Linked DNA regions of Macaca fascicularis. The protein of the gene in region 2 purifies or fractionates together with the protein of the main gene of each other region. This does not show direct contact. Links are inferred from orthologs where the notes say so. Each region holds a gene or a part of one and is shown on either strand. Other genes may lie near its edges. The genes, in order: NCK2 and LRFN4.

Region 1 (4,428 bases), on a different chromosome or scaffold from region 2:
GGGATATGTTCAAAGGAAAATACAGGAAAAGAATAGAGTCTAACTTTTTAATTGTGCTATTAAATGGCCTAAAGAAATGCAAAACTATTTTTGCTTTAGCTGCATACTTTTGATAACCCATTAAAAGGCTATCATGACCTTCTTCTGAGTTGGCTTAACTCAGGCATGGAACAACACACATGAAATCACGTTTTAGCTTAGGGCCTTTGAAAACGTGCCATGAAGTACTTCCATCACACATTTTAGGAAAGAGAAACCATTTGGAAGTGCCACTTGCCATCCCTCTGGATGGGAAAACTAATTTCCTAAGCCTCTGAAGTGAGTTGTGGGGAGTTTCCAGTTCACTTGTGAAAACAGTTTTCCCAAACATCGCTCATCATCCTCCCCTGCAGTTCCGGCAAGCAATTTTGGGCTCTCGTCATTAAGCCTCATTTTTAATGTCAGAGAATGAATTCCACAAGCCTTGTCTCCCCCAGTGCACATGGCAAGCCAGTCCGAGCAGTTAGAAAAATGGGTGTCCCATAGAGCAGCACAGCCTGCTCTAGCCAGGGCAAATTAAGCTAGCTCAACTGATCAAGTAAAGGACTCCAGTACATTCTGCACCATTCGCGGAGTCTTAGGGTATTTTAAAAGGTTATCCAGTCTGTGCACATGCAAGGAAGATTTCCGGTGTATTTAAAATGGATGATAGTGCATTTCTCAAATATAGTACTGTGTACATAAGATCTGCTGTTTGTTGGAAAAGCTAAATAACCCAAAATGTAAATGACAGAGCCTGGGAATATGTCAGGGTCAAACAGAGCAGGGATGAAGAAGATTTAAGTATGCAGCGCGTCCTAAGCAAAACACAAAGCCTGAAAACTGAGCACAGCCACCTGCAAGGCACCTTCAGCGAGCCCCACGGTTAACAGGGTCAGTTTCTCCACAAGTGGACAGAGGGGCTTATGCAGCAGCCAACTCTTCCTGATGGTAATTTGTGACCCAATTTCATCCAGTGTTTCATGATCAATCCCCCTGAATGTTTATGAAGCAGGAAAGAAGCTCAGAATCCAGGAGAGGCCTCCCGGACAGGAAGTGGGCCAGGCACCTCCACAGCTTCCTATGCCTAAAGTTCTCCATTTCAGCCTCAAGTAGCCACCAGAAGACCACTAAGATTCCGCCACCTTCTCCAATCAAAACTACATCTAACCAACCTCCAGGGGAGAATATACTGAGGTAGGATTTTCCCTTGTGTTCACTTCTTCACAAGCAAGGTTAACACTTGCTTCTCAGGAAATCCCTGTTCCAAACATCAAAAAACCTCCATGTCTAGCCCAATCTCCAGGTGAAGTCAATTTCTTCTCCACGTGTCCGATGACCGCCATTCTCTTTACATAAAACTCGCATAGGCTTGAATCCTGTTACTAATTCACCTGCTTATCTATGAAGCTTGGAAAGTGAATTGAGGGAGTGTTCACAAGCACAGTTCCGTTTCGGTAAGTTAAAGCAGCCCAGGTTAATTTCATTTTCCGTCACTTTTGAGACTTGATAACTACATCTAAAACAGAGGCATGAAAAACACCCTGAATCACTTTCATTACTACACAAAATCCCTTCCGAGAAGCGGGGACTGGGCCTGGGCCAGGAAGGGACTCCCCTACCTGTGGGTCCCACCAAGCCACGCCCACCGGCCTCTCAGGGTGGTTTCTTTCTGGGTCGAGGGATGGAGCTGGCCCATGCGATATTTTAGGCCCCCTCCTGCCCACACTGGGGCCTGCTCATCCCATTATGCATATGCAAACTTGGCAGAAGCGGCCTTAAACCTGTTGGCAAAATAAACAAAGCCAAATAAAGAGGAATCTGCCAACCTGAATTGTGAGAAGTGACCAAGGCCGACTACACGACTCCACGCCCGCTCGGCTTTGTCCCTGAAGCTGCTACAAAACTAGTTTAAGTCAGGTGCCTGGGGTCCACCAGCCAATGACCCCTAGCATCCAGCGCAGACCTTCACAGAGATCCTTATTGTCTACAAATTACAGCGTTTTGCAAATTAAACCCCTCCCCACAATGCCAAGCTAACTGTGCTCATAAGGGAGTTACCGTCCATGCCTTAAAACTCACACATCAAATTTTTCCAAAACCACTGGGTGATTAAATCGCCCTGAAAAACACCGAGAGGGCCGAGCGGTTGTGAGAAACTTTGGTTCAGGTGGCTGTAAGAGTCCTGTAAATCTGGGGCAGGGCGCAGAGCCTGAAGCCGGGCACAAAAGCTCCCTTCGCCGAAGCGAAGACCTCCTTTATGCGATGTGACAGCAGCTTTGTGCGCGATCATAAATAGTTGTAATAAACACAGTTAAGTTCTCCCAGCCGATCGCGGCCTCCCCGGTCCCTGCGCCGGGGCCCTGCGATCCGCGGCTATTCTTCCCCGGCACACGCGCCCTGGCGACCCTGGCCACCGCACGGTCCCGCGCTAGCCCCGAGCTCCGTGCCAGCCGCCCGCCCGCAGGCCAGGCGCAGCCTGCGCACCCGGGGGTCTCCAGTCCCCGGGCCCCGCCGCCGGGCCCCCTGCCCTGATCCCCGCCCGCGCCGTTGGCTGGCGTCCCCGCCTCTGCGCCGGGCCGCGATGGTGGGGGTTGGGGATGGGAAGGCGGGCAGGAAGGTGCCGAGCCGGGAGATGCCCGGCAGCCCACAGTCGGGGGCGCCCAGGCCGCGGCGGGGCCGAGAGTACCGGTGGGGCGCGGAGGCGACCCGCTCTCGCAGCCCCTTCCCGGGCGCACCCCGGCCCACGAGCCCCGCCGCGCTCCCAACTCCGCCCAACGACCCCAAGTTTGTGGCCCCCGCCCCGCGCCCGCCTGGCCGTGCTTACCTCGCTGTGGGCCGCCCGCGGAGCCGAAGGGCAGCGGCGCGGGTCCCGGGGCGGCGGCCGCCCTGCGCCCGCCCAGGCGCCGCTCTTTGTCTGCGCCGCTCCCTCCTCCCGCCGCCGGGCGGACGCTGCCGGCCCGGGCGGACCCCGCCGGCCCGGGCGCCGCGAGCCTCCCCGCAGCCGAGCCCTCCCCTCCGCCCGCCGTCCGCTCGGCCGCGCGGCTCCGGCCTGACGATCCCCGCGGCGGCGGCGGCGGCGGCGGCGGCGGCGACCCTCCCCCGGCGCGCAGCGCCCGCCTCCTCCGCGCTCTTCCTCCTCCTCCCGCGCTCCTCCCCGGCAGCGCCGTGACGCCGCCCAGGGGCCGGCCCAGGCCCGGGCACGCGGGGCGGGGACCCGAGACCCACCTGGGGCGCCCCCCGGCGCCGCCAGGCTCCGCGCCCGGGTACCGGTACGGGCGCGGGTATAGCGCCGGGCTGCGGGACGCTCCGCTCTGGAGGCGCAGCACTGGCCCGGCGCCGGGGACAGGAAAGGGTCCCCACGCCCGAAATTGCGCGCGGGCGGTGGGGGGCAGGCTGGGTGGGTGGGGAGGAGAGTGAAAACATAGGCTGCAACTTCCAGCCTGGGATGCCTGCCGGGTAGGCTTTGCGTCCTCTTTTTTGTTTGTTTGATGTCCTTATCGCGAAGCTGTAGTTGCTGGGCAGCCGCCCCCCTCCCGGAAGCATTCCCACGGCACTCAGCTAAGCAGGCCTGGTGTCCATCAGAAAAGTGACTTAAATAAAAATGTCACTTCCTCCTTGTAATTGCTTGTGGGCATTTTTATTTATTTGTCTTGCATCTATTTACTTTCCCAACCAGACACGTTTTTAGTCCATCATCCCTGTCTGAGGCACTTCCTAAAGGGAGAAGAAACTCGACCTCTGTTGCCTCCCAGGCATCCAGGCCAGCCCCAGCCAGTGGAATCCTGGTTGCACACCCATGGGGACAGGATCCGAAGAGGAGCTGCCCGAATGTGCCCCTAGAAGGAGTGTCGCTAATGATGGGACTGTTCAGCTCACCCAGCCTCAAGTTGTGGCTAGCCTATAAACAAACTTGGAAGATTAAAACCCAAAAGCAAGGGGAAAGACGCAAGTTTCCCTTTCACAGACACATGCATCCGGATGTCTTTTCTCCTCCCCATATGGTTTCCCAAAGGAAATCCTAATATTCAAATGATTCTGATTTCCTGGCAGGATAGCCTGCATCCATGTTAATGAGATTCTTTCTTAGGCTGCTGGTCTCTGCTTACTATTAAGACAATAATAATTTATCCAAGGTTACAAGGCAGTATTATTTGATTCAGTCATCTGCTTCCTTCCAGAAAGGAAGTACCCAAGGACAGGTAACTAGAGTCAGTGTAGCTTTGAAGTCAGACAGGTGAGTGTTTGTTGACTTCCTGAACTGTGTAACCTTGCACAGGTGGTCTTAGCCTTTCTAACATCTGTCAAATGGGGAGATAATATTTACCTACCTCCTATGTGAAGGACTCTGGCAGTAGGTAGCCCTCAATAGCTCAGTAAGTGGAAGAAGGCACAGTACACTGAGCAGGG
Region 2 (4,582 bases):
AGACACACCAGGCACAGCCCTGGGCCGCCCCCATGGACAGGAAGCCGGGAGGCCCGAGGCTGCTGTGGCTGCCCCCACAGGGCCCGGGAGCCCCTCCCTTGTCTGTGTGCTACCACTGGCCTGTGTCCCATCTTCCCGTCTTGGGGGACCTAGCCAGACAAGACCAGAGACTAGCATTGAGGTGTCCCCAACAATTTTATTATAAATAAAAACAAGACTCCCAATTGGTGGCTGCAGCCCCTGCCTTGGTGGCTGTGAGCACCTGTTGGAGGGACCTGCCCCTTACTCTGGTCTGGAGGCCAGAACCGAGGAAAGGGCTCCCTGCCCCGCCAAGCACACAGGGGAGCCTGAGGTACCGAGAGTAAAAACCAGGGAGGGACTCCCAGGCCAGGTGGCCGCCCTGGGCCCTCTGCCCCACGAGGCTCATCCCTTGGAGCACACAGGAAGCTGCCCGTGCATCACACCACACTCTCTTCCAGCCGCTCGGCGCTGCCTCCTACCCCCCGGCACCCTGCCCCGAGCAGCCCTCCGTGCACAGAGTGGCTCCGTCGGGCCCAGGCTCCCCCCAGGCGCCTGGCGTAACCGTAGCACCCGGCGTCTCCCAGGTCCAGAGAGCAGCTGCGCTGCGGCCGGGGCGGGGGGCTCCGTGGCGGGTGGGCCTTGGGTGTGGGGCTGGGGCCTCCATTGGTCTGGGACTGGACGTGGCTGAGCTTGAGGGGGAGGCGGCCATTCCCAGCCCCCCGGCCCCGAACCAGCAAGGCCACAGTGAAGACCAGTAAGGCAGCCACCAGCACACCCCCCACGGCCACGGTCAGGGTCCCGCCCAGCACGTGGGCCTGCAGGGCGTGGCACAGGGGTGAGGCTGGCAGCGTGGAGAAATGGGCACAGCCCAGCAGCCTGGTGGCCGTGAGGTCGGAGGGCCCAGCGGCCGGTGACAAGGCCAGCAGGCAGAGGTCATAGTCAGCGCCGGGGACCAGGTGCTTCAGCAGGAAGTGGTGGCTGGAGGCTGGGACTATCCTGCAGGCAAGGGCAGGTGGTCAGAGCTGGGGGCTGGGGTCTAGCTCCATCCTCACCTCCCCGCTCCCGTGCTCCCAGCTTCAAACACCCCTCCCCCGGGGGCCACTCGGGCTCTTGCATTCACTCAGGAAGGCAAACAGGCTCAAGAGTGTGGCCAGGAGATGGGTGTGTGCACTGGCACAGGACCCAGGCAAGCGAGGGGGATGGGGTGGGGGGATGGCACCAGCAGGGCAGAAATAACGCGTGCGGGCGCGGGCCATGTGCTTCAGACAGACCCAACCGCCACCTGCTGCCGGAGGAGGCCTGCACAGCTCAGTGACACCTGGGACATCTCATGGGGTGGGGTCCTCCTGCCACCCCTTGAGCTCCAGCCCCTCAGGCAGCCAGGCCAGGCCACTGCTCCTCCAAGAGTCCAGCAGCCATGGTCTGGGAGCGGTTTTCAGCCCCAGAGAGAGGAGGAGCGAAAGCAAAGCCTTGTGGGGAGCAGAGGGCGGAGGGAGGGCACCAGGAGTGCAGCCGGGTGTGGGGCGCATGTTCTCACCGGTAGATGAGCGTCTCATCCTCGCTGCTGTTGTACTGGATTTGGAACATCCACACTGGGTCTGCTGGCCGCCCAGGACCCCAGCTCACCAACCCTGACGTGGCGGTCACCTCTGTCACCTGCACGGCTGGCTCAGACTCCAGCGTCCCCTCACCCTCGGCAGCAGTGCGAGCCGAGGCGGCGATGTCCGAGGGCCCGGGGCGGCCCCCCTCAGCGCTGGTGTTCCCACCGTGGGGCAAGGCCAGGACCCGCAGTTCTACTCGGGCCGTGGCCTCACCAGCAGGGTTGGTGGCGATGCAGGTGTAGCCCCCAGCATCCCCAGCGCCAGTCACCCCAATCTCTAAGGTCCCGTTGGGGAAAGCCCGGGCTCGGGAGGAGTTGCCAACCAACCGGTCATCAGGACCAACCCAGTGCATGGTGGGCGCGGGGTCACCCAGGGCCCGGCACCGCAGCGTGGCCCGCTGGCCTTCCAGCACCCAGAGGCGCTGCGTGTGGCGGGCAATGAGGGGCGGCTCGCAGGAGAACTCGCCCTCAGGCACTGCCCAGAAGTAGCGGCCGGCCAGGCCGGGCGGGGAGGCGCAGGTCTCCAGGTCGTCCGGCCGCGCCAGCCGCCGCAGCCACAGCAGCTCACAGTTGCAGTGCAGGGGGTTCCCGCTGAAGCTCAGCACCAGGGGGGCGGGAGAAGCCTCTGCGTCACGCCCACGAGAGAAGAGCGGATCCGGAGCCAGCGTGGCCAGGCGGTTGGAGGTGAGGTCCAGGCGGGAGAGCTGACCGAGCTGGGCGAAGGCGCCTGGGGGCAGTGCATCAATGAGGTTATGGTCCAGGTTGAGGGTGTGCAGGGCAGGCATGGCGCCGATGCCGGCCCAGGGCACCTGCCGGAGGTTGTTGTAGGACAGGTCCAGGTCCTCCAGGCTCTCGAGGAAGTCGTCAAAGGCTCCTGGCGCGATGCGTCCCAGCTGGTTGCCGCTGAGGATGAGGTGCTGCAGGTTGACGGGGCCCCGAAGGCTGCCTGTACCCAGCTCCACCAGCCTGTTGCCATCCAGGTGCAGGGAACGAAGGCTCTCGAGGTCCCCAAAGGCGCGGGCCCCAATGCGGGTGATGGCATTACGCGACAGCGTCAGGTCCACCAGCCCTGTCATGTTGCGGAAGTCAGGGGGCCCCAGGGCCTGGATAAAGTTGTCAGCCAGTCGCAGCTCCACTGTGCGCCGGTCCACGTTGGGCGGCACAAACAGCAGGCCTCGGTGGGCACAAAGGGTGCTGAGCGACTCGGACAGGTTCTGGCAGACGCAGGGCAGCGGGCAGGCGGCCGCTCCACTGGCCAGCAGCAGCAGCAGGAGCGGCGGGGCCATGGTGAGCGCCCTGTAGGGAAGGGCCACAGCCCGGGCACAGGTGGGGCTGGTGCAGGTGCCCACTTGGGCCCAGGACAGTCCCAGAAGCCAGCTTCTGTGAGCCTGGCCCGGGGAGGGGCTGGGTCAGAGGCCCAAGAGGGCCGCCAGGGATGAGGGAAGGTTGGGGCCTGCAGGGCCAGGCCCCCCAGAGCAAAGGTCACATTTCCCAAGCAGTTAAGGGGGAGTCCAGGCGCTGGGCACAAGGTGAGACATGAGGCAGGAAGCGGAGGAGGACGGAGAGCAGGGAGGGTCCCGGAACTTCCTTTCCCAGGCGTTCCCAGGAATCGCCAGCCCCCTCCCCCCTCCGCGCCATCCCCTCCCCCGCCAGAGAAGGCGCCCCCCGAACCTCCCGTGGAGTCCGTGTCCCCACCCAGGCCGGCCCCCGCGCTGCGCCCGGCGGCCCCCTCACCTGGTGTCCGTCGCTCAGGGGGCGCGGGCCGGCCTCCCTGCGAGCCCGGCCGGCCCCCGCCGACTCCTGGCCGCTCTCCCGCGGGGGCGAGGCCCGGGGATGACCGGCCGCCCGCCGCCCACCCTCGGGCCCATGGCGCTCGGGCCCGCGGCCCCGGCTCGCTCGGTTCCCGGCACCTTTTCCCAGCGCGGTTCGCGGTGGCGGCGGCGACAGGCGAGCGGGTGCGCGCCGGCGGGCGCGCGCGCCGTGGACACGCACGTGGAGGGCGGACGGGGAGGGGCGCGCGGGGATCCACCCGGGCCCGGGCCGGCTCCCGAGGTCACGGGGACACGCGGCTGCTGCAGCGCCCACGGGTGGCACCCAGTCACGCCCGAGGCCCAGGCCGGCGCGGGCCCGCCGCGCTGCCCCCCGGCGCTGCCGCAGCGCACTCACCCTGGCACAGGCGCGCGCGCCCCCGGCCACCCTGGCGCCCCGGCATCCTGCACCGCACGGGCGCCCGCCGCCGCGGCGCGAACCTCACTCTGCAGACAGCCAGACAAAGCGCCTGCTCGCGGACCCCTTCACCATCTCCCGGAGACGGGAGTCTTTGTCACATGTCGCTGGGCACCCTCCCCAGCACACCCACACATGCCCACACACCCACACGTCCCTGCACCCACGGGCAGGGCCGAGCGCAAACCCGCACTGTTGCTGGGACCCTCGCGTTCACAGACACACGCTGAAGGTCATAACCGTTCTGCATCACCGAGTCACGTGGAGGGTCCCCAACCGGCACGGGGTTCGGCCGTGGGGGGGCTGGGGCGGCCCCACTGGCAAGGCTGCTGCGGGGTGGGGCCGAGAGGGCTCGGCCTCTGGGCAGGCGCCCCGCCCCCGCCGCCCCGCCCTGTCTCTGCTGCCTCTCCCTCCCTCCCCAGCTGCCCCGCCCGCCCTGCCGGCCAGGCGTTCCGAGCCAACCGGCCTCCGCCTCGGGCCGGATTGGTCTGCGCGGCGCGGCTTCGCAACGGCCGGGGGCACGCAGTGGGAAGCTGTGCGTCCTCGCAGCGCTTTCAGCCCCTCCTTCCCGCTCTGTCCCCGCCGGGCCATTTTCCTGGAAGAGCGGCTCGGAACCAGCTGGGCTCAGAGAAAGGGCTCCCGGCGTGAGGTGGGGGAGGTTCCTTGCTTCCTGGTGGAGAAAGCTGGGGCTTGGGGGGCTTGGGTGGCTCGGCGAGCCTGGTCTCCTTCCAGCTG

The links.
Region 1: the proteins of LRFN4 (region 2) and NCK2 purify together in Homo sapiens (co-immunoprecipitation; 3 studies listed by BioGRID and IntAct, counting the BioPlex papers as one, with this or other methods). This does not show direct contact. The link is inferred for Macaca fascicularis from reciprocal best matches to the Homo sapiens genes LRFN4 and NCK2.

Annotation. Positions count from the first base shown.
Region 1 is NC_088387.1:10,175,115-10,179,542, reverse strand, and holds the start of NCK2 (cytoplasmic protein NCK2), read right to left. Parts: upstream 3,073-4,428; 5' UTR 2,846-3,072; intron 1-2,845. UniProt on the Homo sapiens protein: Adapter protein which associates with tyrosine-phosphorylated growth factor receptors or their cellular substrates. Maintains low levels of EIF2S1 phosphorylation by promoting its dephosphorylation by PP1.
Region 2 is NC_088388.1:7,523,990-7,528,571, forward strand, and holds LRFN4 (leucine-rich repeat and fibronectin type-III domain-containing protein 4), read right to left. Parts: upstream 3,061-4,582; intron 2,918-3,060; 5' UTR 2,908-2,917; coding exon 1,559-2,907; intron 1,018-1,558; coding exon 459-1,017; 3' UTR 177-458; downstream 1-176. Other genes in the region: uncharacterized protein, read left to right, coding at 3,158-4,495. UniProt on the Homo sapiens protein: Promotes neurite outgrowth in hippocampal neurons. May play a role in redistributing DLG4 to the cell periphery.